4 linked regions of the Schizosaccharomyces pombe genome follow. The gene in region 1 interacts genetically with each later gene. Each region holds a gene or a part of one and is shown in the gene's direction. Other genes may lie near its edges. The genes, in order: rho3, apl2, erf4 and erf2.

What was found.
Region 2: of rho3 (region 1) and apl2, extra expression of one rescues a mutant of the other (dosage rescue), as found in Schizosaccharomyces pombe (one study listed by BioGRID).
Region 3: of rho3 (region 1) and erf4, changing one suppresses a phenotype caused by changing the other (phenotypic suppression), as found in Schizosaccharomyces pombe (one study listed by BioGRID).
Region 4: of rho3 (region 1) and erf2, changing one suppresses a phenotype caused by changing the other (phenotypic suppression), as found in Schizosaccharomyces pombe (one study listed by BioGRID).

Annotation. Positions count from the first base shown.
Region 1 is NC_003424.3:1,037,486-1,045,770, forward strand, and holds rho3 (Rho family GTPase Rho3), read left to right. Parts: upstream 1-3,963; 5' UTR 3,964-4,049; coding exon 4,050-4,113; intron 4,114-4,187; coding exon 4,188-4,260; intron 4,261-4,494; exon of another isoform or gene 4,495-4,584; coding exon 4,585-5,065; 3' UTR 5,066-5,598; downstream 5,599-8,285. Other genes in the region: nuclear bridge Ish domain protein Les1, read right to left, coding at 1-576, 631-697; efm6 (methyltransferase), read right to left, coding at 1,181-2,164; karyogamy protein Tht2, read left to right, coding at 2,756-3,361; SPOM_SPAC23C4.09C (chaperonin-containing T-complex associated protein), read right to left, coding at 5,735-5,779, 5,897-6,027, 6,111-6,186, 6,235-6,304, 6,516-6,589; guanyl-nucleotide exchange factor Sec2, read left to right, coding at 7,510-8,285. UniProt on the Schizosaccharomyces pombe protein: Involved in controlling cell shape and septation. Regulates cell separation by modulating the function of the exocyst complex. Involved in post-Golgi vesicle transport. Involved in driving sexual development in a palmitoylation-dependent manner.
Region 2 is NC_003423.3:673,578-683,113, reverse strand, and holds apl2 (AP-1 adaptor complex beta subunit Apl2), read left to right. Parts: upstream 1-3,372; 5' UTR 3,373-3,479; coding exon 3,480-5,531; 3' UTR 5,532-5,986; coding exon of another isoform or gene 5,987-6,057; 3' UTR 6,058-6,205; coding exon of another isoform or gene 6,206-6,353; 3' UTR 6,354-6,481; downstream 6,482-9,536. Other genes in the region: knk1 (AAA family ATPase), read left to right, coding at 488-1,843, 1,892-2,300, 2,348-2,565; putative NatC N-acetyltransferase non-catalytic subunit Naa38, read right to left, coding at 5,987-6,057, 6,206-6,353.
Region 3 is NC_003424.3:2,825,712-2,832,087, reverse strand, and holds erf4 (palmitoyltransferase complex subunit Erf4), read left to right. Parts: upstream 1-2,903; coding exon 2,904-3,422; downstream 3,423-6,376. Other genes in the region: rRNA processing protein Faf1, read left to right, coding at 1-278; spd2 (ribonucleotide reductase (RNR) inhibitor family), read right to left, coding at 879-1,096, 1,282-1,289, 1,489-1,571; rit1 (initiator methionine tRNA 2'-O-ribosyl phosphate transferase), read left to right, coding at 3,401-3,459, 3,739-5,041; protein mug113, read left to right, coding at 5,270-6,250. UniProt on the Schizosaccharomyces pombe protein: The erf2-erf4 complex is a palmitoyltransferase with a major role in driving sexual development. Palmitoylates ras1. Palmitoylates isp3. Palmitoylates rho3.
Region 4 is NC_003423.3:1,863,933-1,872,267, reverse strand, and holds erf2 (palmitoyltransferase Erf2), read left to right. Parts: upstream 1-4,735; 5' UTR 4,736-4,818; coding exon 4,819-5,871; 3' UTR 5,872-6,447; downstream 6,448-8,335. Other genes in the region: F-box protein Pof9, read right to left, coding at 57-421; phosphoserine phosphatase Ser2, read right to left, coding at 967-1,065, 1,137-1,934; SPOM_SPBC3H7.08C (uncharacterized protein), read right to left, coding at 2,425-2,666, 2,827-2,878, 2,948-3,016; elongator complex subunit Elp6, read left to right, coding at 6,660-6,854, 6,937-7,491; protein tam8, read right to left, coding at 7,515-7,748; trm141 (actin binding methyltransferase), read left to right, coding at 8,082-8,335. UniProt on the Schizosaccharomyces pombe protein: The erf2-erf4 complex is a palmitoyltransferase with a major role in driving sexual development. Palmitoylates ras1. Palmitoylates isp3. Palmitoylates rho3.

The DNA of each region.
Region 1 (8,285 bases):
CCAAGACGATTAGGTCGTCATGTGATGCACCAATTGGTACTGTAATGTTTTTCTGATCCAACATAGAAAGGAGTAGATTATTTGACCAGGATTCCAACTCATCATTGGTGGAAATGGCATCGCCCATTGATGCTTGGAAAACTGTTTCCAACAACTGCTCTCGGGTTCCAGGCTCTGGAACTTCGTACTTATTCTTAATAAGCCATCGAGAAAGCTCGGAGTTGGTCCATGAATTGAAAATCCAAACGTCCAATTTTTGTGCGTTATGAGAAGCATGATTCTTCTCCTTCTCATAGAAAGATTTACATTTGTCGGTTACCTTTGATACATACTGTAATGGCTTCCTCCAAAACTGTGAAGGAGTCTCGATAGGAGGAACGTCCAGTGACTTTACCCCATGATTTTGGAGAAAGTCATCAAGCTTTCGTTGAGGCCAAGAATCGGCTGGTCCTCCTATTTTCCCCTTTTCTCTACCGGCGTAAACGGTTCGCTGAACATACTTCGTAGTTGTACTAGGCGCATCATGTATATCAGCTGCAGTCGCTTCAATAGACGATATGTGGCCTGTAATCTTGCCTAGACAATGCCGGGTCAGCCGCTGTTTCTGTAGAAAAGCAACTCAACACTTACCAATTGACAGACAAAGCTGTATTCCTAATGCCAAAAGCGCTCCGTGTAGAAGAAACCTTGGCTGCATTGTATTTTTCTATGTGTTTGGGTGAATGGATGGTGCGTGATGCTTGATGGGTATTACACTTGGTATGCGCTGCTATATGACGTAAGCCGAGCCAGTTTCAAGGCATACAGAGAACAGGGTAAATAAAGCAGAATAAATAAAGGAAACTGCTTTATATAATGTTGAGTTGTTTTTTTATCAAAGAATATGCTAAATCATTAAATTCGCGCCAGTCGTCATAACACCATTCAAAAAAGCTGGAAGCCGAAATTCAATTTTACAGAAAATGTACTTTGCAGAGTTTACATGGGTTCCCAAGTTCGCTGATAGTTTAGATGCAAAATTGGTTTTATGCGATGCTACAAATTTTATAGACCGTTGTGTATAAGAACCCGAAAAGACATCTCAATATAAACATGCTGCTACAAAAAAGTTACGAGATTCGCAAGTTGACAGATTCAGCAACGCATCCTAAGAGAAAAATGAAAATGATGCAAAGTAAATTTATTTTTTCTGTAAAATGTAAATAGTGATTGGACCACGTTCTTCGTAAACAAGATCCAACCATCCCAATATATTGCTCATAAAAGTTTTTTCATTGTCATGTCTTTTTTTGTACGCAATATATAACTTTGTGTTCTTATCCATCAATTCCTGAAGACTTGCCTCCAAATCAGAAAAGCTAGATTCATTGTACATGACATCTGACATAACAATATAATCCCAATGACGCCGAAATTTTCGAGGAATGTCATGTCCCCATACTAAAATATCAGAAGTTATGTTGTTGCTCATTGCAGACTTATTCTTTTCAACATTTTTTTCCATAAATTCAATCGCATCTTCTGTATCGGTCATTGACACAAGAGCACGTGGATATTTGCTAGCAATACTTATACCAACAATTCCACATCCGGAGCCTAGTTCTAAAACATTGATGTCTTTTCTATTGGAAAAGCTATAATGCCAATCATCAGAAAGAATCTTTTTTGAGAAAACTACGCCGGCATCCCACAAGTGCTTAGCAATACTGTTACCCATCTGTTCGAGAAACCAGAGACCATCGTTTGGTGACTTTTTTTCTGGGCCTTGGATATACCGCCATACCATATTAGGTAAAGTAGATTTCGGTGAAAAAGCTTCACTCCAAACTGGTAATACAGTATCGGCATTTATGTGTATAGAATCAACGATTGAATTCTGATTTTCTAAATGCAGCGTCAATTGAATTTGCTGGTGACTAGCAGGAAAATACAAAGTCGTTTCAGCCGCGTGACCATTCCCTATCCATGAAACACATTGCTTAGAAATTGTGATACGACTGTGAGATTGTTGTCTATCCAATGCTTCAACCCTTACGGTTGCATCTTGCGGATATGAAACTTCGCCCAGATCAGAAGTTATCGTAAAAACCACTCGTAAAGCGTATTTAAAGGATTCTTCGAGCTTTTCTTGGAGTCTTAAAATTCTAATATAATAGAAAGTCATTCAAGCGTCCAAATACTTTAAAAATCCTTGGAAAAATAAAGAAAAGGGGGTCTTACAGAAATTTTTTTAATGATCTATTAACGTTCAGTTTCCCTTTAAACCACATTCACCAATCAATGAAATAAACCACTAGCAATGAAATACAAGTTGGTTGAAAAATTTTTTTTTTCGCAATTTGAAAAACTAAAATTCTCTGAAATATCAGATTATCGCCGCAATATGAGAGAGGGTAAACTGATCGTAAAAGCAAAACAATTGAACTAAGTTGTTAATTCATGCAACCCGGTAGCAATCATCATGAAAATAATCTCTGAATTGTTGTAAGAAAAACGCATGGTAGCAAACTTAAGTCGCAAGCAGAGCAACGAGTCATAACTGATAATACGAATATTCACATAAGGAAATGAACTTTATAAACACTCAATTACAAATTTGAGGGCATAAGCAATTGCACTAACACTTTTTTACATGTTGGTTTATTATGTGTTTTGCTGACTTTCCTTTTGTTTGTTACTTTTTTGTTGTTACCAGCGCACCTAAACGAGAAAACGTGTATTGATCCCTTCACATTTTAACCTCACAATACAGAAAATGGAGAATCAGGTGTCCAGTTTTCTAATTGATTCTCCAATGGAATGGAAGACTTATATGAAAAGCTTGAGTGATGATAATCCCAGCTTTGGGGACGTAACAGTTAATTTGACGAAAATTAGCGTATCTTCAAAAAATGCAAAAAGCTACGCAGAAGAAATGTATAATTATGTAACTCAAGAGATGGTATTTATCAGTGAACGTAGTAGACTATTATTGCGCGCAAAAAGAAGGTTGTACAAAAATCAATCACTTATGAAAAAAACGTCTGTGTCAACCTCGAACACAGTAAAGATGGTATTTATGTCACTAGCAAAGCAAATTGAACAAATGCTCAAATTCTGTATGATGGTTTACAGCAAATTGTGCGAGGCGTTTGAAACAACGTTAAAGGTAGCGAAGGAGTTTCAAATTTGCGATTCTTCTCAAGAATGGTTTTTCCAATTCCAATTGGGTTATCATAGAAAACAGATGGAATTACAGATGCTTTCTTTTGTAGCCGAATGGCTTGTTTTAACTCAACATTATACAGATGCTCTGAATGACTCGGCAAAAACACTTTACGACATAATGGAAAGTAGCCATAAAGCGGCACAAAAAGTTTAAAAGCATATTCAAATGTCAAACAAAATTTTCTTCTTTTAAAGGTGCTATTCAATTCATGATTCCAACAGTTGCTGTGCAAATTAAACTATTATCATGAAACAAACCACGGTAAAGTTGGTTGTACTATTGTGTGACTCCTTTTTCAAACTCATCAAAGTACGATTTTCAATTAAATTTTAAACTTTCAATTGAAAGGGTTGCCTCAAAATTGACAAGCCCTTGGTCAACTTTCACTAACTGGTGCTGTTGATTTTCTTCCTATTTAGCAATCACGTTATATATACCGTGTATTTCATTTTGAGACTGAGAGTAGACTTCCCCAATATATTTTAGTAAAACTATCCTTCGAAGGTTTTGTTCATCAATGAATTAATGCTTTACTCATCAAAATATATTATGAAACAATCCTACTTGCGAAGTTCATTCTGTATTACGTATTTCCGTATCTCTTTTAATAAACTGGTTCGCATCGCCTTAATTATTCTAAATTTGATTGTTACCTGAAATGTAGAAGCCAATCTACAGCGCACAAGGACATGTATGTCCTTCGCTAAGCAGTAAGCTGGGGTCTTGCGTAGGCTTTAGCTCATGGTACAAAATTCGTACCTAAACCAAACACCTCTAATCCTTTATTATACAGAAACCATTGAAAAACCCATAGAAAGCTTGATTGAAGCTCATTGAAAGTATGTCAAGCTGTTTCGGAAGTAAAAAGAAGCCTATTTATCGGAAAATCGTAATTCTTGGTGATGGTAAGGATCTTGGTGAAAATTTTGTTTTTTCTTTCGTGATTTTCGCAGCTAAGCATTCTAACCGTAAATTATAGGTGCTGCTGGTAAAACCAGTTTGTTAAATGTATTTACTAAGGGTTATTTCCCTCAGGTATACGAGCCTACTATGTAAGTATCATTAATAGTGCAAAGCTGTAAACGGCGGAGCGGAAATGAGGTTACCGTCTGCAATATCAAGTATAACTCAATATGAAGCATCTTTTTTTGCAAACCTTTTATCTAACGGGTTAATTTGTGGAAATTTGTTTCATTTCTGAGGAAAACGAGAATGCCCGAGTGTGCTCTCCATACAGTCACACTCGTACAATTTCTCATGACCAAACGTCAAATTGCTTTTACTATGCTTGACCTGTTAAGGGTTTTCACCACTTCTTTACATGATTATCTTCTTGTACTTAAAAACTTTTTCCGTTATCTAACACCTAAAAATAGATTTGAAAACTACATTCATGATATCTTTGTCGATGGAAACAGTATAGAACTGTCTCTATGGGATACAGCTGGTCAAGAAGAGTATGATCAACTGCGTTCGTTATCATATTCAGATACACATGTTATTATGATCTGCTTTGCCGTGGATTCACGAGACTCATTAGAAAATGTAATCACAAAATGGCTTCCGGAAGTCTCTAGTAATTGCCCTGGTGTTAAATTGGTTCTTGTTGCTCTAAAATGTGATTTACGTGGAGCTGATGAGGAGCAAGTTGATCACAGTAAAATTATTGATTACGAGGAAGGACTGGCAGCGGCAAAAAAAATCAACGCTGTACGATATTTAGAATGCAGCGCTAAATTAAATCGTGGCGTAAATGAAGCTTTCACGGAAGCTGCACGCGTTGCCCTTGCCGCGCAACCAAGAGGTACAAAGGATGGTGCTGATGAATCCCATGGTACCGGATGTATCATTGCTTGAAAGCACTTTCTTTTGAAAGCGCCTAAAAGTCTTATTTCTAATGTTCGAAGTTTATTATTGTATATGACGTTAGTGTGGGTGTTGCGGTGGCCTTTGAATAGCGTTAACCTTTTTTCAATGGTTTGTACTTTTGACTTTTATCCCCTTTGCTGTTCTCAAGGTTTTAAATTTGACACTTGGGGATTCTGTCCGTTTCCAATGAGTTTATCTCCTTATTTCAGGTGTATTGTCTATCTTTCTTACCTTCCTACTTGAAACAGCAGGTATTTGTACAATCGTGAAAAAGAGTGTTTGCAGTGAACCTTACTTTCCTTCTTTTTTGAAACTTGTACACTTTGAGTTGTTCAATTCTCCTTCTGTTCGTGTAATCGTTGAGTTGCTAATCTAATCAATTAATCTACCCCTTTTCTTTTACGATAAGCATACTGTTGAGCAATAAGGATTAGTCTTTCGGTTGTAAGACATGGGTCTGAGTCAAATCCTACCGTTTTAGAAAGCACCTTAAATATTTATGTAATATGAAGTGTTACCCCTAAATATCGTAATTGAAGTTAAAAATTGTAAAAATTTAGACTACCCAATATGTTGTATTCGTGCATCCGTGCAACCCTAATTCAATTTGATCCATTTGAAAGTAAAACAAAATTTATTATGTCTTTATCCTTTAAATTAAAGATCCCAGTCATCCTCATCGTCTTGAACACGTCGATTGATCTAATTAAACAGTTAAACTCTGGACCATGTAATATAAACAGATGTTTTTTTTTGATATTTCTCTCCTCAGATGAATTTGAAATAAAAAAGGAGAGAAGGAATTAGTAAGGCACTTACCACAATTTTTGTTTCATTACGTTTGGAGACCTCACCAGAAATTTTTTCTAACAATTCGATAAGTTCGGGCTCTGAGATTTTATGAGATATCTGGCCCGTTTTGGCCATACGTAACAGGAGCTCTTCAACAGCTACACAAATTAGACACATGTTTACATTATTCGTAAACAGATATTAAATTATTATCCGCCGCAGAAAATGAAATCACACTTACCTTCAGCACGATCTTTTCGTACCAACGCTATACGACGAAGTCTGTCTCTTGCTGGGTGTTCCAAAATTTGAGAAAGCTTATGAAATTGTTAGTCGGATATGGACCATACACATCATAAACATACTAGATTTTGTCGCATTTCATCTTGTACCTCCTGTTGTTGCTGATTGCTTGATGGACCTGAAGCAATATTACTAGATTTGTTAATTCTTGTAAAAAAAATGGAGTATATAAATAAATTAGTTTCTAAATTCACTATCGGATTTCCTTTGTGTAATTTTAAAATGATTCATTAAATCTCGTCATTTACCAACATAATCCTTCAAGTGAATTCTAATAAAAAATTATAACTTTCAGTCGTAGAGTTTTGAAGTTTATATGCAAGTTTCGAAACTAAGAACATACCTAGGGGCAGAACCATGTTCAGCTTGAAGTTGTGCTAAACGAGCTTGTCTTATAGCTTGCAATTCTTCATCCATTATGAATAAGCCTAATTATTAAGCAAGAACTGATGCACAAATGTTTTTTAATTGAGACTTGTGTAATGCTCAAATTTGTGGTGTTGCAAAGGATTAACGATAGATTTGCGGTACTGCTATGGAATAATAGCAATTAACAAGCGCTAGCATAATCAATTGTGTCGAGAGGACCATATTGGTGAGTAATACTTTTTTTAACTTTCTTTTTCTAGTAGACATGTACTTATTACCCTTATCTTGACAAAGCAGTCTGCTATCACGAAGAAACCTGGTCAAAATCCAGTGTGTGACAGCAACACCTATTCATATAGCATAAGCGATTATTAGACGATTACTTCCAAATCATAGTCAACCCCAAAACTTATTGATGAAGAAGTATTTTCAACGTAAACAATTGGTATAGCTAAATTGTTCAACGAATTAATAATTGTTTGAAACATGTTGTTTAATACTCTTTAATACGATTTAATGAATCACTAGTGTTAGTTACATAACATTACGCTGCATATTTCGTTATTTATCACTACATGGCTTTAGTTATATCATTTGCTATAATTCACCTTTTTTATAAACTCAAGATTATCAAGTTTGAGCTCAAGATAAACCACCTTTCTTAGTTCAGTTGTAAGCTATGCAAGTCTTTTTTATTATCATTGCTACCATTATTTAAATATTCAGAGTAATTTGCGGGTAAACTTACCTACGTAAAATTATATACTGCTCACAATGAAAACTCACCGTAGTCTATCGTATCCTTAACACACTTTATGAACTTCGTAACTGACACCAAAGCGTCTTATGATACAAGTGTATGAACGCCGTAAATTACCTTGACATGATATGTCAGTACTAACGTTAGCTGTTAAAGGAATTTCTTTGTGTTTGACTTAACGCTAAACTAAGTTATATTATAATTTTTTATGCCTGATGTCTCAAATGTGCGTGTAAAACCAAACCAGCATCCTTATGAAAAAGAAGTAAACGGTAAATTAATGTCGCAAGAAGAAATATTATCTCAAAAGCTGGTGGCAGCAATTGAGAGACAGGCGGCTCTTGATGATAAATATGCTACTGAGGTACATAGAAACGAAGCATTGTCAGAAAGGATTAGAGAGCTGGAAGCAAAACTCTCAGCAAAAAAAAGTTTTGACGAGGAGTTAGTAAAGTTTCATAACCTTGAAGAGAAACTTCAGCTTACGGAAACGAAATGCCGTAACGCAGAAAGTGAGAAAAGCCGTGTGGAAAATGAACTAGAAGATTTAACTAGCTCGTTATTTGAAGAAGCTAATCGTATGGTTGCAAATGCAAGGAAGGAGACTGTTGCGTCTGAAAAGCGTGTTAACCAATTGAAAAAGCAACTTGTGGATGCAGAAACTCTTTTATCAAGCACCCAGCATCAACTGACGGAACTGAAGGATGTCATGCATTCCATGTCCGACTCACACGAACAAAATAATGCCTTGCATCCACCACTTTCAAGGACCACCTCTTTCGTTGCCGATAATGTATCTGTTGGTAGTTTTGCTTCATCAACTAGTGGACTTGACATTCTAACTGGAACGAGTGCTCGTGAATCTTTAGATGCTAAAGAAATTTCAAGTGATAAACATTTGAATATATCAGGAGAAAGGCCAGCTACATTTCCCAATCCAACTTTTATCGAGGGTTCCGACGAACGTCGATCAGCTTCAAGTCT
Region 2 (9,536 bases), on another chromosome or scaffold:
AGCTCTATTTGAGCGTTAAGTTCAACTAGAGAAATTTTTTTTAGAATTTGTAGGTATATCAAAAGATACTTAAATTTTCGCAAATTTGTTCTCATCGAAAACCGCTTGGCTTCTGTTTTTCAGCCAGTCGAAGGCGCTCGATTTTAAAGTGCTCTCTAATCCACACTACTAGCATAGCGATGAAATGATTAATATCGTTAATAATACGTTTTTTGTTGTAAACAAATTTCCGGATTTGCGAATTAGCGGGAAAAAAAAAAGAGTGTGAAAGAAAGATATTTACTCATCTATTGAATCTATGAATAAAATGATTTTCTCCAATACGAATTCCTTATCAAATAGCTTTTGAAGAGATGAAAGAAAACCAGTGGCTGAAAAGTAACAGCGTTACTTCGAACATTCTATGGGATTTTTAACGACAAGACAGCACTTTTGACATTTGAACTTGCCAAAAGCAAAAAAGCCATTGACGAGTCGACTGCGGAAAATGGACTCAGACTTGGATAGAATACTACCGATAGCATCAAGAGCATTATTGTGTGAAGGAAATAGGGATTGGGCTGGTGCGTATGTGAGTTACTGCAAGGTTTTAGAGGAGATGAAGAAGTCGTCGGCAGCTCGCGATCGCATGGGATTGGGACCTTTGACGGGCGCAGAGGCATGTTCTTGGAACGGGCTCTATGACAACTGTTTGAGCAAGGCAAGCAAGCTGCGTAAGACGATTTTGGAAAGTGAAATGGAAAGGCAAAATTATCAACTTGCAGCCAAACTTTCAAAGAAGGCGCCCGTTGATCTTCACCCCTTACGTCCAGTAAGATCTCAAACACCTGCGTATACCCCCATGACTACTAGGATGATGTACAGACAGACGAGAGGTGCGCAGTCGGAGGTAAATTTATCTACGCCTAAGCAAATATATTCCAAGCATTCGCCTCCTTCTACCTCCACTTCATCCATTGTTTCTTCTTCCTATGGAGATGCACCTTCTTATCTGGCACCCTCTAAGCCAAACCGTTCTCCACCCCTCAAACCCGAAGATCCCTTTGCCTCTTTCAATTCTTCTGCTTCGGCCATTGCTGCTGCTTCTAAGAGTGCTGCCGCTTCTGCTTCTGCTCTTTCTTCTGATACAGGTCGTTCTGCTACCATGAATTCCACCACTTTTCCTACCGCTATGAAAAGTCAGTCTACGACTAAACCGACGCTTTCCAATTCGGTATCTAGCCCTTCTATTCAGGTGTCAAACAATCAAAATGCTAACAATAGCACTCCCCTCTCCTTCCATGCGCCAATTCCTCCACTCCATGTTCCTGCCGTCCCCCTTACGTCTGCATCGCATTCATCCAGCGATGGAAAATCGCGCAAGCATCCTAGCCCATATAAACCATACTTAAACTCTTCTCATGATACCCTTGGTTCTTCCACTCGACCGTCTTCCGCTGACACAGCCGGATCACCTGCTACATCTCCTCCGGCAACCGCTGATTCTAAGACAATTGTGTCAAAAACTATCTCAGCTAGTACTACTCAACAAACTGAACCTCTTCAACAGACCACTCCTTCAAGTGATTTTGAATATGCTATTATGAATGAAATTATTTCTAACCATGAACCTGTCTACTGGTCGGACATTGCCGGATTAGATGACGCTAAAAATTCCTTGAAAGAGGCAGTCATTTATCCGTTTTTACGCCCGGAACTTTTCCAAGGATTGCGTGAACCCGTACAAGGCATGCTTCTTTTTGGCCCCCCTGGCACCGGCAAAACCATGCTTGCTCGTGCTGTTGCGACCGAAGCGAAAGCCACATTTTTTTCGATTTCGGCTTCATCATTAACCTCGAAATATGTAAGCAAGTTTTATATTTAACCCCATTCTTAACTAACCTTGATTTAGCTTGGTGATTCTGAAAAGTTGGTTCGAGCCCTTTTTGAAGTTGCGAAGCGCCAGACATGTAGCGTTATCTTTGTTGATGAAATTGATTCCATTCTTTCCGCTCGTAATGACAGCGGTAATGAGCACGAGAGCTCTCGTAGATTAAAAACAGAATTTTTAATTCAATGGTCTTCGTTAACTAATGCGGCTCCGGACAAGCAAACTGGTCACTCTCCCCGTGTTTTGGTGCTGGCAGCTACAAATCTTCCGTGGTGTATTGATGAGGCTGCTCGACGCCGATTCGTTAAAAGAACCTATATTCCGTTACCTGAAAAAGAAACAAGATATAAACATCTTTCTCATTTGCTTCATAATCAAGTACACTGTTTGACGGAGGAGGATCTGGAAGAACTTGTCAATCTTACCGAAGGTATGTATATAAATAATTCGATTGGTTAGTTAACTAACGCCATCTAGGTTATTCAGGCTCTGATATCACTGCTTTAGCCAAAGACGCAGCAATGGGTCCTTTAAGAAACTTGGGTGATGCTCTACTTACCACCAGTGCAGAGATGATACCTCCGATCAGCTTGAATCATTTTAAAGCTAGCCTTCGTACTATTCGTCCAAGTGTCTCACAAGAGGGTATTCATCGTTACGAAGAGTGGAATAAACAATTTGGTTCGCAACGTTAAAACAACTTTGTAGAGTATTCTACCTTTAATATTTTCAAGAAATCATATATTCTTTTGCATCAAAAAGGCAGGGTATCCTTTAATTTATTCAAACTTCCTTTCTCTCTTTTTAATTTTATCCTTTAATGTTTCTTAACGAATCATTTGGGTATCGTTTTTCTGGATATTATGAGAATTACCGTGCATTTAGGGATTGAATCGTGGATGCTGATTTTCATGTGGTTTCAATAACTTTCTTTTGCATAAACTTGGCTTATTACGAATTTTAATTTCTGTTTACCTTCATTTTATTTTCGTCTTTCCTACAACAACTAAAATGTATTCGTGATTTGACTATCGCTATAAACGACATTTTAAATCATAGCCGACTTGACAGCGCCTTTTACAAATGCTCCCCTTTTGTATTTTCCATCAATTCTCTTTATTTTATTTTTTCCATTTATCGTCATATTTATTTCGTTTACATACAGCCTCAACCTATTGGGCTACTTTTTTTCCCTTCACTATTCTCCAATTTTGAACAATAATTATTAGTTATTTAATGTTTGGAAAAGGGTATTGCTTTACTTGAATCGCATTTTTACGGCAATTAACTTATAGCTTTTATTGAAATAACATTTCAACCTCTTGTTTGTATACTGAATTAAATGTTTTAAAATTTATTTAAAGGTCATAATAGTAGCGTTTAAAGCATTGCAGGTTGAAAATGAAATCATGAATATATAGAAATTGGATTTCAGTATTCGATATTGTCACCTTTGTTACTTCTGGGAGTGGGTGTTTCTCACCGAATGGGTTTGACTTGACATGATTATTGAACCACTGCTTTATATATGTAAACGTGTTTTTGACCTTAGGACGTTTACCACCTTTAAAAGAGCTACATAAAGAGCGGAATTATACAATAGTACCGAATGGTTCCAAAGTTGTTTCAATCGAGCCGTTTTAAGGCATTTAAAAAAAGCGAAACAAGTGAATTACAAAAGGGACTAGTTTCTCAGTATGCCTACGAGAGAATTGATGCTGTGAAACGGACTATTGCCGCAATGACTGTTGGCAAGGATGTGTCTAGTCTGTTTCCCGATGTTTTAAAGAACCTAGCTACTCGCGATATCACCTTGAAAAAACTGGTTTATTTATATCTAATTAACTATGCCAAAACACACCCTGATCTTTGTATTTTAGCCGTTAATACTTTTGTAAAGGATTCTGAGGAATATAATCCTACTTTACGAGCTCTGGCAATTAGAACTATGGGTTGCATTCGGGTAAATAAAATCATTGGCTATTTGGCAGATCCGTTGCGAAAAGCTTTGAAGGATGAGCATCCCTATGTTCGTAAGGCTGCAGCGGTTTGTGTTGTAAAGATGTATGACCTTGATCGAGAATACTGTGCATCAAATGGTTTCATCGAACAATTGCAGGCGTTGGTATCTGATCCGAATCCTGTGGTTGTGGCTAATGCAGTCCGCTCACTTGCTGAAATTCATGATCAGGACCCTGAAAAGGGATATTTTAATGTAGTTTACACGATGACAGACAGGCTAATGGTTGCTTTGAGTGAGTGTAATGAGTGGGGTCGGATTACTATTTTGAATTCTTTAGCTAGATTTCGCACTTCTGATATCAAGGAAGCTGAATATGTTTGTGAAAGGGTGGTTCCTCAATTCCAACATGCAAATAGTGGTGTCGTTTTGTCCGCTGTGAAAGTCATAATGGTACATATCCCTCTCTTTTCCAGTGACTTTACAGACTTTCTGTACAAAAAAATGGCTCCTCCTCTTTTGACGCTACTTTCTACGGACTCAGAAATCCAGTATGTAGCCTTACGGAACATTAATTTAATATTACAAAAGAGGCCTTCTATTTTTGATGTCAAAACTCGGGTTTTTTTCTGCAAATATAATGATCCTCTTTATATTAAAATGGAGAAACTAAAGATAATTACAATGCTTGCATGTGACGAAAACATTAACGAGACCATTTCCGAGCTTCGAGCGTACGTTTCCGAAGTTGAACTAGAATTTGTGAAACAAACGATTAAATGCCTTGGAGACGTTGCATTGAAAGTTCCAAGCGTCATCAATGATTGCATCTCCATATTTCTTGAAATCTATGAGTTAAATATTAGTTATATGGTTCAAGAAGTCACGGTGGTGATGGAAACGGTTTTGCGCAAATACCCTCAAAAGATTGACTTATTACTTCCATATCTTTCTCGTGTCATTGAGGAGCTTGGTGACCCTAGAGCCCGTAGTAGTATGGCTTGGATTTTAGGGGAATTTTCACACGTTATACCTACTTCTTCTAAACTATTATCCGAAATGATTTCTACTATGGCGGATGAAGATTTACAGATTCAATTGGCTTTACTGACGGCTGTTGTAAAATTGAGTTTGATGAACGGCAAAGGAAACGATGAAGAACTCGTACAGAAAGTATTAAATTATGCAATTAATCAATCAAGCAATCAGGATTTAAGGGATCGTGCCTTTGCATATCAGCGGTTGTTGACACCTGAAAATGTTCGTAAAGCTCAAAAAATTGTTTGTTGCGAAAAGCCTTCCGTATCTTATAATAACAATCTACCTGAGGCACTTTTGGATGCTCTGTTGTGTGAAATCACAACTCTTGCTTCTGTATACCATAAATTACCGGAATCCTTTATTGGCCAGGGCAAGTTTGGCGCAGACGCAATACAGCGTCGAGCTGTTGAAGAATTGAACATTGAAGAAGCCAATGTTCATGAAGCTATTGAAAAAGGAGCCAACGTTGAAAATTTGCTTGACCTTGATTTTACTGATCCAGGCGCAACGTCTGCCAGTGATTCTCCAATAACCAGCGCACAACCTCAGTCGGGCTCAAATAGTGCAATGGATTTGTTCATGGCTTTTGAGGCACCGAGCACAAATAACGCTGAACCTGTAAAGGCTAGATCGGCAACAGATGATCTGTTAGGGCTTTAAAGATAAACGACAGATGAGTGGCATGATAGATGATGATTTGTTTTATTAATATTTATCTCGTTTCGTTTGTCTAATGGGAAAAACGGGATAAGGTTGATTGATGCACATCTAGTTTATGAAGATATGTTTCAATTGTTGTTTTTTCCCAAATCAGAAAGTCAATTTTAACATAGAAAGCATGTTCTTCTTTCGTTTTTATAAATAAATAAAAAAATATTTGTTAAAATGGATGCGAAGCAAAAATAGGGACTGCTCATTGCAGTAATCATTATCACTGAGGTGCTATCACGAGTGGTACAGATTGTAATGTTAATTATAGGCGTTTTTTAATCTGTACGAATGTAATGATTATCCCTGGCGATATTCGTTTTTGAATTCATTCCAATATATATATATATATATATATACATACATACGTAAGTGAGATGAAAATGTTAAGGAGATTTATGGGTGCTTTAGGCACGTACGGAGAAGCTTTTGATATGCTTTCCTGGAATCACCACTAAACCCAAAGCTCTAGAGAAGCCTGATTTCATTATATTAGTTTTGACGAAATTGGTGAAAAACAGAAAGAGGTACTAGCTGGAACGTTTGTTTTCAATTTAAACAGTAACCCAGCGAAAGTTTACTTGAATTTGAGGGACGCGCTATTCATGAACACATATCAATCTTACCTTTGTTGTATTCTGTGGTATTTGAGAGAATGGCAGCGCCTTCTCTGTCAGTGCACAAGAACTTTCCGATGAATTTTCTCTCATCAAAAATTTCAATATGAACTGACCGATTGAGCCAGCTGGTCAGTAAAATCTCTCCATTTTCCATGATCAAGGAAAATTCATCAAGCTTGGGGGAAGTGAAATCAATAGCAGTGGATATACATACTCTGAAAATACTAAACATTAACGCAATGCACAAAATTTGAACATCGTATTGTAAAAAGTAATGTAGTGCCATTAATATAACGCTATGCTATGATACACTACGTTGCGTATCACTATATGTCATATGTTGGAATACTAGCTAAGATCCGTTTATTGATAATCACGGGTAATTATCCGTCTATATACATAGATACCCGTTAATAACAACTATTTAGAAATATTATAAATAGCGTTACAACTGAACCTCGTTCCTCAGTTCAGTTATGAGCTATATTAGTGATAGGTAACATTATAACCCAGTTAATACAATACCTATACTCAGTTGCTACTTATACAACCTGTGTATTGTAATATAAATAGACCATAAGGAAAACTCACCGCAGTTCTCCGTATCCTTAAATCAGATACCAAACTGCGTAACATTAGGGAGAATTGAAAACTGTGCAATTAACATTGGTATTTTAAACAACGGAATTGGTGCATGTCTTTACATAGTATACGATATCACCTTAAGTATCACAAACTACGTATAATAGAGTAACTGAATGTGGGGTGAGTAATGGCAACGTAATGCTCTATAACATAGCGCGGACTATCCCATTTGCGATTTTATTTTGTATCGATCTTTTAGCATGTTGAAGAGTGTGTTTTGATGAAAGAGAAGGTAGATTACTATAATTACCGATCCTAAATACAACATGAATGTATTCTCATAAAGAATGGTTGAAATTATAATCCAGAAAGTAGGTATTTTTTCCTACTGATTTCAACCCTCTACGCTTCGCATCGTTATTTAGTATACAGTTGGTACAGTAGGATATCAAGGCCGTATACATACTATTTACATCGCGGTATCCAAAAATAGTTTAAACAAATGCCGTGAATAGTTTGTCTTTGCATCCATTTATGCAATTGATAGAGTTTCATGAAAACGTTCTAAGCTTGCCGAGTCAAAAACTGCCTTTCGACGGCAAGACACTAGGCAACTTCGTCCCAATGCAGTACTGGAAATTTCAAGGAGAGGGAATTGTAGCAGTCTAGTGCAAAGTAAAGTGAATTCATGAACCGACTTGTCATGTGAGTTTTATTATTAAGAACTCATTGTATGAGAAAAAAAGAGGGAATCGTTTCGTTAATGGGTTTTTTAAGGGGTTCGTTCATCTCCAATTTACAAGTTTATGGGTCACTTGACATTTTCTCTACTTTAACAAAAACTGCTACGGTTCCTCAATTCCCTGTTGATTGATAACGGATATGAACATAGAGTTGTTGATATCAGAGTAAAGTATTTTAAGCGATCTCGGTTATATACTAAAACATTGGGAAATCTTCCTATTTTGAAAGCCAGCAAACCAGCTTCATTTTAACTATGTCTTTCCAACCAGCGATGTAGGAAAGCTTGGTAACTTTAACTCTCGCAAAGTGTCGATAAGTTTGCGTAACGAGTTGACTGTTTTATCTCGCTTATAAAGGTTAAAACATTTCTACAATAATAGACCGTGCTACGAAACAGTAAAATTATGTGTTTGTAAAAAATACTTATGGTAATAGGTTCAACCGAGCTCCCTCCAGCACATAAAATTCATCGTTATATGAATAGCCAAACTTCATCTCGTTTTTTCCCCTATGATCAAATTTTGTCGAACAGGAAAAAGTTGAGTCGCTTTACATTACAGAAATTTCGATATTATCGCATGTCACGCCATTGAATTTTTGGCATTACTATTGCACCCCGAAAGCTGCACTCAGTCTGACCAAAATCTTAACGGTCACAGGGGCGAAATACAATATACAGCAATCGGGTGCAGCGAAATCACCTATCGTAGTCCATCGGTACTCTATCCTTGTTAATGAAGTAGAAGGCTGGTATCGATAAAATATGTTTTCGAGATGGGCCGAGAGTTCGTTAAAAAAATGAAAAATTTAAATGGGTTGGATATTCTAGCAGTCGATTATTGGCTTTCTTTTCTTTTCTTCCTTTAAATATTATTATTATTAATACTCTTTAATCAATTGCCTCTCTTTTTCTAGAGTTTCCTTTTTTTCTGGCTTACTTTTTCGCATTCTGCCAAGGTGCCCTATTAAACAAAAGGTAATCAATAGTACCCTTCTAATGCAAGAAAAAAGTCTCCAATTCGCTTTTCCCCCTTTGCAATATCAGTAAGCAAATAACTCCATCCAAGCTCATTAGATGGGATAGCACATACACACATGCTACAAACCTTCAATTTTACCCGTTTACCCGACTTTCCAGCAGCACATAGAAGATGGACAAGGGGCATGGCAAATGTGCATGCATATGGCAAACAAATATGTGCAAAATGACATTATTAAACGATCATAGCAGTTCGAAATGGACTTGGTAAAACAGTCAACTCTTGGCTGTTAAGGAGGAATAGTAAGTTATCAGTTTAAGCCACAGTATGTATGGTATGGGAAAAAACATCGGAAATTTGGATAGAAAAAGTATTATGAGTGAGATGAAAAAACTCTTAGAGGAAGTGTTTTGAGTCGGAATATTTATGATAAGTATTGATGTTGAACAGTTTTTCATTTAAATTTTTATTATAATTATTATTAAATTTTTTTTTTTAATTTTTTTTTTTTTTTTATTTACTTTATGTCAGAGTTATGCTTACTTGATGGATTATTGTGTCTAAACTTACAAAATTAATAATTTTATATTAAATTTGAATTTTCTCTTTAATTTACGTCCACTAAATTTAATAATTAAATGAAATAGAATAGAATTGTATATTTCATAATTTTTCGTCATTGCATATCATTTTTTTATTTTTTATTTTATTTTATTTTTTTCTTTATTCTTTTTGATTTATTTTATTTGCTTTTACTCAATGTTGATTTTCTTTTTAATTTATTAATGTTTTCAATTTATCCTCCTTTTATTTGCAAGGTATCTTTTTTTTTTAATACCATACAACACCGTTGCGTATAGAAAACCTTGTGTACATTCATTTTATTCAATTATTCACCCATCATCCACATTTATAACCTTCGAATAAGCTTACGATAGAGTTTGTTTTAGATTTCTGTACTTGTTACTAATCTATGTAAGTTTTCTATGAATAAACCAATTTATATTTTAGCAAATCTATTTTTGTAG
Region 3 (6,376 bases), 1.8 Mb from region 1:
AAATCCGTCACAAAGTCGTTCAGCAGCACATTGCTCAACTGGGCGGTAAGAAGGAAACCGAGAAAATGCCAATGGCTGCTCGTAGAGGAATGAAGAAGAAACAGAAACATATAGAGAAAGTAATTGAGAACGAAGCCCGGGAGAGTGGTACGGTGTTAGCAAAAAAACGAAAAGAAAGAAAACAGTTCAAAAAGGGATTTCGTCCTGTTACTTTCTCAGCGCCAGGTAAGCTCGTGGGCGGTACTTTACTATTGCCAAAAAGCATGATACCTAAATAAAAATTTAAAAAAGAGGAAAATTTGATTTTCGTGACAAAAAAATAATGACTTTTTCTTCTTAACTATTTATACCACCTTTAAAAATACTGAAGCTATGGAAGTTGGATTTTTAGTAACTTTCGACACATTCAAATGGTGTTTTATTTTCCTTTTTTTTACCTGGAACATTTAAGCTGATTATATTTGTGAATGTAAGACGCATACGGACAAGGAATTTTGGTTTTGCATAGAGGGTACTTAGTTTTTAATATTTGAACACATTTAACGTAATTTGAAAATAAAAATGGTACTATTATGAAAATGTTCAAAGGAACAAACTATAGCAGATGAGCGAGCGACGAGAAAAAAGAAACACAAAACAAATAATTTAAAAAGTATAGTTTACTAGTACTGAGTCCGCATATTCATGAGTAAACAATACTACAATAAGCAAGCAAAAACTAGAAAGCAAAGTCGAAGAAATAAATTAAGTAAATCTTTATCTTCAATTCAATTTCATAGTTTTGAGTAATAGTTCATCTCAATAACAAAGATTTATGCTATTGAAAATATACATATTACCCAATAGTATCGAAAGCTTTATCTTGCTCATTTATTCATTTAATGAGACTTGAGAAAATCAGGCTTGGCAAAAGAATCGGCGATTTCTTGAGTGGAGGCGGTATCCCAGAAAATAGAATCAGCAGCCAATTCTTGCTTCAAATCATCGAGACGAAGATTAGGATCATGTTTTTGCTGAGGAAGCTCATTTCTATCAGTTTGATCCTTGTGGTAAGAAGGGAAAAGTTGTTGGTCAAATTTGTAACCAGTTTGAACAGCTGCTAAAGTTAGTAAAAACTGCTTTCATCTAAACAGGAAAAAAGGTAGAAAGGAAGTAGTTTCTATAAAAACAGTTTTCCATTAAAAGTATAAACATGAAGAAAGAGTGCTTTATAGAAATTTTTGATTAAGGTATTAATAAACAAATCCACTCATTTTTTTTTTTTAAATTTGATTCACGTACCTTTGCGACTAAATGATTGTTAGTTATTATACAAAAAGACTAAAAAAGAGTTAAATCATCAAATGCCGTGCTGCAGTACAATTGTATTATAAGTTTTCAAAAAAGTACTTAGACCTTTAAGCCCTGTCTCTTACAAAAAAAGATAGCAGAACAATCAGCATTTTGGATAATTCAACGTTTAAAAGTAAAAAATTGGATTAAACTTACACTCTGGCTCCAACATCAAAAAGAGTAGTTTGAACTAGCTGGGGAAGTTCGTCATGATCGGGAAGCTTGAACGTTTCAGACATCCTGGATAAGTAAAACAATTAAAAAGTATCAAACAGGGGGAAATTGACAAAGTATAGTTAAATATAGGTAAAGACGGAGTGGTGAATCACAAATGCTAGCAATTACCAATCGCAGAGCAATCTTTTAATTTTCAATGATTAGGTGGTAGATGGTAAGTAGTTTGGGGTTGCGATTGTAGATCATACGAATTTTCTGTGACTCGAGACAGGTAACACTTTTTCTATTGTTTACCTATGGAAAAAAAAAACAAAACAGTGTAATGCGATACATATTTCCTTTAAACAGTTATGTTATGGGTATCATGAGAAACTAAATTTTCATCTTCGTAAAGGAGGGTTCTTTTTTAATCGTCTTTCTTGGAATTTCTTCAAATCATGAATTCAACTTGCATAAATGGATAAGAAAAGTTGGTTGTAAGAATCTATAGATATATATTTAGCATGTTTCTTTTATTTAAACGAATATTCCTTTTAGAAGCGAGTAAGCTTCAAGTCGTATAGAACGCAGACGATATTAAGCCTAATAGGATCTTTAACGCTTAACTTAATAGCAAGCACAATGAGTTTTAGATAGCTGAGTACTTTAAAGCAACCTAACTTCCCTTGCAGCTAAAAAAGTTTATTGAACTTGATTTAAGACGCTCTTCTTGGACTGAGCAAGGACTTCAAAAAAGCCCGCATTCGTTGTCAAAGTTTTATCTCATCTAACGACTAAAGTAATATGAGTCAATGCTCATATAATATACAGTCGAATATTTTTTATATTTTATTACATTTATTTTCCCAAGTAGTTTTTCCAGTTCATTCTAAGTAACTTTTATCGTAGATGAAATATATCCTGTAGAGAGCTTTTATCCTCTTCCTGAACGAGCAATACGTTTTATTAATTTTCAATTCCTCAACAACTAAAACCACATCCTTTTATCAATCTTAATTTTCACTATAAATCCGTTCAAATTACCTAGTGACAAACTGTGTGGTTTTTGTTTCAAATCTGAAACTCACTCAATTAATCATAATGATTTTTTAAAATGAGTTATCATTGCCCATTTTACAGCTATTCACTCAATTAATCACTCAATTCTGACATTTAATACGTTTGTTTGTTTAGTTCCGGTTATATGATCAATCGATGAACTCATGAGTGTTTTATAATTTTTTAGTCATTTTTAACGTTGTTTAACTTATAACTTTCCTGTTTATTTATTTTTTTTCTTGTGCTCTACCGAATCCCAGTTTCATTATACATATTCTCTAATCCGTCTTCTAATATTGTACACTTGAACCTAGAGCTAGGGAATCCACCAAGCTTCATTTCAGTAGGTTTTTTCGATGCTTGTTCGCATTGAAAGGGATTATTCGGTTTCAGGAGATAAATATCCTCAATTTCCAACCGATTATCCTGTACCTCTTCGAGCTTATGTGAATCTTGAGGATTGGGATGTATTCATTCACACATTAAACGAGAAACTGAGAGAAGCCTTCTGTCCATGGTCAATTGGAAATCTATTAGATGGAATTCTATCTGTTTTAACGATTTATATCTCGGAGTTCGTATTTGGCAGTATTCATCGTAAAAGAATTGGGGCGATCGATTTGTACATCCTGGACTTTGCAACCCAACATAATTTATACGTTGCCAGCCTTCGCAATATGGGGTTTTTGAGTCTCGTTTTTCATACAAAAGAAACAAATTCGAAAAGTAGTACTCTCCATTCCAATCCGTACTGCCCGGAGCACCATTCTATACGAACACTTCCCTCTGCCGTGACTGCCACCACTTCAAATATCTCAACTTCTAGTTCTCACAGAAGTGATCTGCCAAACGAATGGACGAATTCGACCCTTTAGACGCTGTGCAACAAATTCATGTTCAAGCAAGACACCCGTAAGTCTCAATTTGCTATACAAATAAGCTGGCAGAATCAAAAGACTTAGAAAATGATTGCTACCTTTATAAACGCACAAGCAATTAATGCAAATTGTAAGAAAAAACGATGGATAGCTGCTATTAAATTTTCATGAAAAATTTTTAGCCTAATCGCCATTTGTTGGATTTCGTACTGATATATATTTTTGCTGATTTTTACTTGTTTTTCCTTTTTGCCTTGCTTTTCTTTTATTTGTATGTCATCGAATGGAAAATTTGGCTAACACTAATTTCAAGAAAGAATCGGTTGCTGTCAATTGCACACGATGCCAAGTTTGTCGACTCAGTTATAGCTTCGTACCCCACATTTAAACCTGTTGTAAATGAACGATGCGGTACGTGGTATGTCAACCGACGACATGCTCCGATTTCTGTTTATTTCAAAAGTACTGATGGTCATACCGGGCAATGGTCTTTTAGCTGTCGTCGTCTCAATTTGCATTTGCTAAATGAGATAACCACTTGTGATGGATTGATTATAGTAGATTCTACTCGTCGTGGAAAGAGAATGCCCGATGCTCTATCAAAGACGATTCCGATATGGATTGCTACGCTCAATAAATGTGTTTTCGAACGGCTTCGTCCCCATTCCTTTCCTAATGCTCGTTTGGCCTTTTTACCCCCGTTTTTACCTGATACAGAAAAATCATCTATTTTACAGAGGCTAGATGGATTTGTAGATTCTTTAATGCAGTCCGGCATTGACTTAGATGCGTTGGCGGCTAAGCTAACTAAACCCATTCGTCCTTTATGGGTAACACCTGCTAGTCGTTTAACATCTGCACAATTTGAAGAATATTTTACAGTTGTTCTGGTTACTGCAAGTGCTCAAGTACAGAATGGGTACTCCCGAGAACATGGATTTCTTTACGTTCAAGGAGCAGCAGATGACGAAGAAGAATGGTCGCATGGGCTGACCCCTGAAGTCTTTTGGCAAAATACTGAATCTATCCTCACATGCCCAGAGGAGCAATTGGAGCAAAAAATTAGCCTCCTACTATCTTCAACTAGAAACTCACCTACCATGTCAAATTCTTCGTTAACCCATCTTTTACCAACTCCTATATTTGTTGGGGATGTTACGGGATTTTATCCCCCTCCAGAAAATACATCTTACTTTGTTTTGAATTTGTCGAATACCACCCTGAATGTGAAGAATGAACTTTGTTTTCCAATACCGTCAGGAAAAAAAGGTGCTCCGGTGTTTCGCAAGCATTTCCCTTCAATATTGCAAGAATTAAATTCACTTGATCCTCCATTTTATGAGAGAGATGCTATATTTATTGTCGATGAAGGAAATGCTAAAGAAGCCGCCTCTTGTCTTGCATTGATGATTCTTTGTTTATACTACGACCTCCATATGCATTTACTTGCCCATCCTATATCTCTATCTGCATCTCAGTCTCACCTTACCAAGCAAACGGTTCGCCAATTTCTGGTAAAAATTACAGAACTACACTCCAAAACAAATCCCTCACGAGCATTCCTTCTTGCCGTCAATTCCCTTTTACTTAGTGCCAATACTATTGCTACTTCTTAGTAGTGGCACTTGGAATGGCAAAAATGTTTACGGTAAATAAAATAACGTAACATGAATCGTTTCCTTAAACGAATCCCAATGTCAACATTAAGCTCAGTTTGCTTTTTCCGTTTCCCTGATTGTTAAAACTTTTGAAAAATATCTGAAAATACGAGTAATTGAGTTTGTTCATACATTTTAAGACTTTAGAGGCTTTGAAGGATGTTGATATTGTTTGATTAGGATTTCATGAAAATGCCGAATACTCTGCATTCAGTATCAATCTCTACAGATTTTCCTTCCCCAAATGTAGAATCGGAAGCTGCAGACGTGAATGAATATTCCTCTACTTCAAAATTTGAGACATTGGGTAATCAGAGCTCTACAAACCTCGGTTTTTCGAACTCCTTACAAGATAAGTGGGATTGCTGGAAACGGGATTTGTGGTCTATTTGGTGGTCCTTAAGTCGTAAGGCAACGAGATTTTATAGATGGTTGTCTCGATCGTTAAAATGGCGTCCAGTTACTTACGAAACAGTATATCCACAAACTTATGAAACTCAGATGTCAGAGCCTAGAGAAGTTACTACAATTGTAAAGGATTTAAATAATGGGGATTCTTTTGTCTTAAATGTTACTGAACCTGTTGACCCTGAATTTTTGCGTGCCAATATACCTCCTGTTCATCGTAAACATCTTCCACCCAGACTTTCATTAGTCGCTTCTCCGGGAACTATTCCTACTCGTGGAGTTGTTGTATTAGAAGATTGGATTAATCCGCTACTATCCGAAAGATGTAAACTTCTTTTACAAAGTGAGCTTTGTAACCAGGATTCTTATGATTGTCCGGGTTATATCTGCGTTTACAGATTTGAGCAGAAAAATAACCCTTCGGTCGTTTTAGGTGACTCTACCCTCATCCAAATTTCCAGAGTTTCTGACCTTCAGCGACACCTTCGTGAGTACCCTAAAAATTGTGCCTTTTCCAGGTCGGTGTTAGAAATTTTCCCGGATCCCGGCAAAACTTCTAAGCCATGCCAAGTGAGTTTCAAGGTTGAAAGGTTAGTACATAAGGAATTAAATGAGTATCTTTCTTGGATGCAACCTTTTACATGTGATTCTTGTGGATCACTTCATGAGAATTGGCTCCAAATTGACAGTAAACAGTGGGACCAAATTCGTGGTGTAATATTACGGTGGGTAGAGTATTCTCGGGTCATTTATGCTTGAATCGTTTTTTGTTTTTTTTCCTATCTTCTTACTTGTTTTGTTTTTATTTTGAACACAGGAGATTTTATTTTTCTCCCAAAATACTTTATAATTAATATCTTCTTTGAGGCACTTAAAGGATTTTTT
Region 4 (8,335 bases), on another chromosome or scaffold:
GGGAATAGTTAGTCATTGTAGTGCAGTCAAATAAATTCCTGTATCTATGCGCTTACCCAACTTGAACCTGAATAGTAGAACGAACGTCCTTCCCAGTCAATGCACCAGGACGATCTCGAGGATACTGATTTGTATTGACGACGCGGCCCAAATAGTTTCTTATCTGTTGCCCCCATGAGTAAGCGTATCCTCGGTCTTTCCATACAGCATAGGGTCTTTTGTAATTATCATCAACAACTGGGACTACATTGGTGAGACCTTGGACCCGTGCACAAAATCGATGCCAAATTGTTTTGTCGTCAAAAACATACGAAAGTGACTTGCATGTTTCTGACAAATGAACTATATCTTTATAATCAAGATATGTACTAATTTCTAGCAATATATCGTAAGAAAGCTCCAGGAATGGTGATTTAGCCATAATGAATCTCGCATGGGTAGTAGTATATGAATACCTCTGAATATATACAAGGGAAACGGTGTTGAAATACGTCAAAAGCACATGTTTTCTGCAACTCTTAATAACTAGATACAATTGTATTATTTACAATTAATAAATGATAATAAAGAAAGGTCTATGAAACGAAGGTGTAGTCATTGCACGAATCAATTTCAAAGTCTATCAGCATAACGAAGCAGATTTAAGAGTAAATGATCGGCTTTATAAAAACCAATTGAGTAATTCTTGTCTGTTTTAAAGAAGAAAGCTTCTGAACTGCCCCTTTTTTTTTAAGCATTCATTGCACACCCTTTCCAATGAAGCATTGATCATACCAAAATTGTAAATTAAGGAAAAAGAAAAATAAGAGTATCAAAAATAAAGAAGTAGGGTATATAAAAGACGGCTCCTACTACAGAAAAAAAGACCACGCGCACAAGTAAAATATTGCTTTATAAAAACCAAGCCACAGTAGCTCAGAGTTCTTGACAGCGCCTTGCGATTGAAAAATTCTTGGAAATTCTAAATTAATTTTTGTTTTCCAATAGCTTTTTTTGTTGTTGCTCATCAATACCCAAGAGGTAAAGAGCGTTTTGCAAAGATGGAAGATTGATTTTCGAATCAGCCTAATTAAAAAAAAAAATCGAGTTAGTAAGATCATTAAAAACATAAATTTGTAAAAAAATTTCGAACATACCAATAATTGAACTTTGGGTTTAGCTTTGAACGCAATTCCTAAACCGGATTCGGCCATCATGACCAAATCGTTAGCTCCGTCCCCAACAGCCATCGTTTCGAGCTTATTTAAACCCAACTCTTCCCTCTTTTCACGCAAAATGGAAGCTTTTCGTTGTCCATCTACAATTGCACCTTGAACTTTTCCAGTGAGGAATTTACCATCATCGGAAAATTCAAGTACATTGGCATATGCATAGTCCAAGTCCAGTTGTCCCTTGACATATTCAGCCATTGGAACAAATCCACCACTAGCGACAACAAGAGTCGCACCCATTTGCTTAAGGCAATGACAAAGCTGTTTAGCTCCTGGAGTGAAAGTAATTTTGCCAATGACTTTATTTATGACATCGACGCTCAACCCTTGTAGTAGAGAAACGCGACGACGAAGTGATTCTTGAAAGTCAATTTCCCCATTCATTGCAAGAGATGTAATCGTAGCAACCTCTTTCTGGATGCCTGCTTCTGCCGCGAGCTCGTCAATACACTCTTGTTGAATCAACGTCGAGTCCATGTCAAATACTACAAGCTTCTTTTTAGTGGAAAATGTTGCTTCACTCAAGCAATTACAGTCTACATTCTCAGTAGCAGAAATGCGGTTACAAGCGTCTTTAGCATCTTCAAACGTTCCTTTAAGTTGGCCTGATACTAAAGTCCACTGTTCCCCCAGAGAACGAGTCTTCCCATCTCTAAACAAGGAGGAAATCTGTTCAAGCACATTTGGACGATTTGAGGAAACAACTATGGCTGCGTTGACCATGCTTATTAAAAGGTATGAGTGGGTTTGCTAAATTTTCTAAGTTGAAAAGCGTTGTTTTCGGCAAGTCCCATTTACTAATTACTCGGCTATTGATTAAGCTTAACGTTAAACGACAACAAGTACTAGGTCAATTTAAGTTATTTGAAAATCTCAAACAAGCTTATTTTTTGTTATTGTTTACAAATTTATCATTATCTTCAAAATGCTGTATAAATTGTGAAGTTGGTAAAGTGGTGCCTAAACTCCGTTTTCAAACACAGGTTAATAAGCAAATATTTTTTTTATACATTAAAGCAATAAAGCAAGAAATCATAACTAAGAAGATGTTTGGAAATATTGCAATATATCAGGGCAAATATTCCAAAAATGAGAGCCTACCATAAAGTAGAGAGTGAGATATTTGTAAAGTGAAAAAGCACTAAAAAAATATTTGGCAATGTAATAATTGTTCTCTTTCATTCCTAAAAGGTTATACACAATTTAATGTGCTTTACTTAGAGAATCGCTCAAGTACCTCTTCTGATACACCTTTAACGGGAAAAGTGCTGTATTGAATAGCAGAAGGTGCCTTTCGAGGTTCTTTACTCCTATCTCCTCGAGGATAATACTTGTAGCTATAATCAAGACTCTCATCACTTTTTCCGCTACTGCTTTTGGTGTCTTCCCAGGGGTGAGCATTTTTTGAAGGAATTCGGACTTGATCTTCATGTTGTACCAACAAGCCCCGCTGTCCTAAAAAACTGTTAGCTACAATCATTTAATTTAAACAATCATATGTAAATGCGCTTGTAAAATAAATATTCTGTAGGAAAATTTTAACAGAATATTAAAATTGAGTATAATGTTTCATTAACTGCGCTGATTTCTAATTTTCTACTAATTTTTAACATACCAAGCATATAACCAGCAACTCCAAAGGTATAAGTCATGACACACCAAGTTATCTAACAGCAAACTGATCAGCTTACGAAATAATCAACTCAATATATTTTTCAAAAAAAAATTGAGCTTACAAATAGTTCTGGATATTCTCTTGACCAGCGAACCAGGCGGTTCGACATAATTGAGCGCATAATTGACATGATGGTTCCAAAAATAAAAAGTTCTTGTTCGCTTGAATAGTTTGATTAATTGTTTCGAGATGGAAAGGATCTAAAATCCTTTTATGATTGTAAATGTCAAAATGAAATACGTAGGCGAACATTCGCAACATTTATGACAAGCATCAATATTTATGGGGATCGCCACCTGACGCAGACAAGACGTAGCAACGGTGCGCATTAAGAGATTCAAATTTGAATGGATAATAATATCATAATAATCACCAACTCCTTCTACTAAAGTGGTGAAAGAAGCAACTTTCCAATATTTCTAGATTTTCCAGCGTTTGCAATCGGGATCGAACCGCCCTTGTATTTATATTGCTTTATACAGTTTTATAATACTTTTCAGATACTACCTCTACCCTTGTATTATACTATAGAATTTGTTAGGACACTTATTTACTAAACTTTTCCTAAGATTATATTTGTAAATAATAAGAAGAGAACACTAAAAAACTTCGCAAACAAATAAAAATGGTTCGTACCATTATAAATAAATATAGTCATTTTTCAAAATTTAGCTGCCATGAGGTTAGTAACTTAATAGTAGTTGCTGACCGCAAATGTTTCTCCAGTAAAGTAGGTCCAATGTACAAGTACGTTTAAAAGCGTCATTGAGATTTTCTAAGGAATAAGAATTTAATTCATTTCCCTTTAAAACAGGAAATAAAACCAAAGGACCGCTTGGAGTCATGCATATTGAGGAATAACAATCTAATTCGATAATCTTGTGAACTACATTTCCACTAAATACAGTGAATGAAGCCAGGATGGTTTTTCTTAGATGTAGATTAGTAATAATTTTTCTTCAAAATTTCATCCATAACTGACCATATACCGTGTTTCTTGAGTTATTTGTTTACAAGCCATAGAGGTTATTGGGTTATTTCGGGGCTAGTGAAAGTATAGAGATGATCCTTTAAATTAGCCCTTTCATTAATAGCTTCGCGATAATCATAATTTCAATAGTTGCAACACTCTAATAAACTTTTAAGATCTTTTTTCGTTGCTTCCGTACCTTCATTTCTAATATTTTCTCAATTACACCCTCCCATTATTTTCCTGCTAGTTATTTAGCCATTTTAAAAAAAAAAAAAAAAAAAAAAAACATAATACACAAGATGAAAATGGTTTACTAGCTAGTCTACTTCCCATGATATTGGTCTTTTATCTTAGTCTTTGGAGTCTTTATCGAGTCATATATTACTAATTTTTCCATATATTATCCACTTTCTTTACAAACCCGAAATTGCACGGATAGTATAATTTATTAAACTTGATTTTTCTAACTTTGAGCCCTGAATTGTTGTACTGACAGGATGTTCCAATTACAGTATCGATGAAATATATTTAAATAAAAAGTTTGAAAAATATAAATACTAATATATTGGCACTCTTAAATAATTTTTTTTACATTTTATTCGTAAAAAAAAAATAAGTACTTTATTTATTATTATTAATTTTATTTCTTCGGTTAGTATTTTTTTTTTTAGCATTTCATTTCATATTCTGTTTTTATTTCCCTTCTCTTTTTAATACACTCTCATCGATTAAATAGGCGCCATTCCAAATATTAGTTATTAGAGTCACATTCTCTAATTGTTTATTTATTTTGATTTCTTTATTTGCTTAGTAAACAAACTTTGGCGGATGCTAATATTTACTTCACCCTCCATCGCAAAAGGGGTTCATATCCTTACCGACAACAAAACTACAAGATATAATACCAGGTGTAAAAATAGCTGTTTCTTTGCCATGTTTGTTGTTTAGAGAATATAATCATGAGCTATGAGAAACACAGTGATGCTAAGGCATCCCGCTACGCGTGGAATCAGCCATGGAATCCATTTGAGGTGACTTTGTCTGATCCAACGTATCCCATGAATTTGGAAGAAAAGAACCAAATTCCTTATAGATTTCAATCCGTTCCTGATGATGTTCCGGAAGTACCGCATATTGAAAGCCGATATAAGAATTTACCAGGAAACAATATCTATTTATGTTGTGGTCGATTGCAAATGTCATCTCAGTACAAAGCTTTCCTCATTAGCTTGTTTGCCTTGATTCTTCCAGGAGTCCTTTTCTTCATCTTTTCTGCTTTTTGGCTCTGGCATCATGTCTCTCCCGCTGTCCCTATTACCTTTGCTTACCTGTATGCCTTAGCCGTTGTTTCCATGTTCAAGTGCTCGACTGCTGATCCAGGAATTCTTCCTAGAAATGCATATTCTTTAACTTATAACCCTGCCCATCCCTGGTCTGTAATTCCTGAAGACCGTAAAGTCCTTGTTGGATCCACTCGGTCTGACTCTGTCTTTGTTAATACAGTTTATTGCCATACGTGCCACTTATATCGTCCTCCACGTGCAAGCCATTGTCATTTATGTGATAATTGTGTTGAATACCTTGATCATCACTGCATTTGGTTAAACACTTGCATTGGTCGTCGAAACTACAGATATTATTTTATTTTTTTGTTATCTGTCGTTCTTTCAGCTTTGTATCTAACTGGATTGGGGTTCTATACTTCTATAGGAAGTTTTCATGAATCCACAGATACAAATTTTGCGGCGCATCTTCGTCGTCCATGGGCTGGCGTATCTTTCTTCCTTGGCATTTATGGGGCACTTGGAGCAATACTTCCTGGCATCCTTTTCTGTTACCAGTGCTATTTAATATCTGTTGGTCAGAATGTTCATGAATACTTACGAGCAAAGAGTACAGAAACTGAAGATGTACATCCTTTTCATGACAGCATATGGCTCAATTTTCTGGTTGTCCTTTGTCGTCCTAAAAATGTGAGTTACGTTCGTCCCACTAGGAAGTCTTACGTGTAATATGCCTTGGCTTCACAAAGAAAATAAGAAATAAAAATTTTTTATTTGCTAGACAATAATGCTCAAATCGCTCACGCATATATGCTACACTCTTTCATCTTCCCCTTACCAATTTACTTTTCAGTACCGAAATTAATTTGGTTTTAATAACCGGAATAAAAAAGATTACTCCCCTCTTCAAAATTTTTACCTGGATAATGTTTTGTTCTTTTTTTTCATCCTTGTCGTCGACCCCTTCAGCTCGCCCTTTGTACTTTACAGAGAACAATGTACAGAAACAAATGTTTATAAAACTATTCCTTGTTCTCACCAATCTCTGGAATTATTAATATTTAATTTGGCTGCTCTCTTTTATTTTTAAAGTAATGCTGCTTGTTTTTATGACTTATATGATAGATAGATGGTTTTACCTCCTTTAGCTAAACCCCTTTCCAGTCTAATTTATTGGGATTTGCTCTTTATTGTTCTTTTTTATTATTATGATTGCCTTTTAGGCAAATCAATGTTCCATAGGTAGATAGTTTTTCTTTTTTTAATGAAATAGCTTATCCACATTTAGAGGATAGTTTTCTGGAAAATAATTTGGTATTAGACTTCTTTAATTTGATACTTGAAACTTCTATAATATTAGAACTAGCTTTGCATTACTGACCGGCTTGTTCATTCTTACTCTGGTTCATGTTGCTCCGTTCCCAGGCTTGTGTTTTCCATTCACCCTCTACAACCATTCGGAAAGCTGGTTACTGTAGTTAGGCTATAAAACTAATGACAAACGGCTCTTAAACCTAATGTCTTCTTTACACGAGCATTTACGCCCCATTCCTGAGCCTTTTTCTTTAACTTTGCTACTGGGAACAAGAGAAACACCTGTCACATTTCTGTTCCATTATTATTTATACCATGCGTTGAAAGCAAAGGAAAGTACTTGTTTTTTAACATTCAGTAAAACCTTAGATGAGCATGCAATTAGTATGCGTAAATGGGTATGTAAAAAGAGGGATTACGATTGCATAAGTGGTTGAATGATAAACTATTCGTATGACTAACCTACTGAACCAATATTAGGGAATGGATATTAAAACGAAAAAAAATTTCTTCTTTATCGATGGCTTCAGCATGCTATTTGCTCCTATTTCCAAGCCTTCGAAGGTACAAGCACCAGAAACCAAAAATCACATCAAATCTGTTTTCGCGCCTGTGATCCAATGTGTGGAGGAAAACGATTTTGAATTTGAAAACTCCACGATCATCATAGAAGATATTGATATTTTACAAAGTACTCATGCTCTCGATTCCACAAAGATTCAGCAGGCAATTTTGGAATTACGAAAATGTTTCAGTAGAGTCATTGTAAACGTGACTTTGGGAGCTCCGTTACCACAACAAAAGTCTTTAGGCTCTTCAATCGGACACATGGCAACTAGATGTATTTCCTGTCGGCCTTTGACTAGCGGTAGCGCTCGACGAATCACCGGATTCCTGCGTCTTTCTCGAATGCCAAATCACTTTCGTAGTGGAATATGCGAGACCCCGGAGGATGATGACAAGGAGCTTTTATACGAGGTAACGGAAGCAGGTGCTAAGGTATATTCCAAAGGGCAGGTGACGCTGCAACTCTAAATTCCTACTTCATCTACTTTTTCTCAATTATCTGCTGCTGCAGTCTCTTCGTCTCCCTTCTTTTCCACTTGTACATTATCTTGCACCCACCGTTTTACTAAAAATGTTCGTTGAGGCCTGGATTCATCTCCTTCTTCATTATCCTCATCATCTTCATTAGAATATGTATCTACAACAACAGGAACCCATTCTCTGCTCCAATGCACTGCTGTTTTTTCATTTTGTTGAGGTTCCACACTTTCTGAAGTCCTATTCATTGTATATTTGTAGAGTTGCGAGTATCACAAGGTGCGCGCGAATTGGTATAGGTGTAGGTTTACAAGGAAGAACAAGACGCTCTCTGCACAGTGTGCATTGATTTGTGAATTTGGAATTAACGAACTAGGTTTGGTTATTTTTTTATTTAAAATAGTGCTTTTTTAATTTAAAAAAAATTGATCGAGCCAGTTTGGTATTCATTGAAGGTTGTAGGGTAAATCGTTGTCATACAAATTTTTTATCGCATTTTTTGGAATAACTACTGGGTTGGGTAATATTTTGAAACATCTTTCATACATATAGAAGACCGTGCTACGAAATTGTTAGGAGATATGAGTGGTATATCAAAATTAAGTGATTTTTGGGTTGAAAAATATAAAAAGGAGTCGAAAAAGTCTTGGGATAAGTTTTACAAGCGAAATGAAACAAGGTTTTTCAAAGATAGACACTGGCTTGATCGTGAATTCGATTGTTATTTTGGATTGCCCGATAAGTTGCCATTGACTATCCTTGAAGTCGGATGCGGTGTTGGAAACCTCGTCTATCCTCTGCTAGAAGTGCAACCAAATTTGAAGATATACTGCTG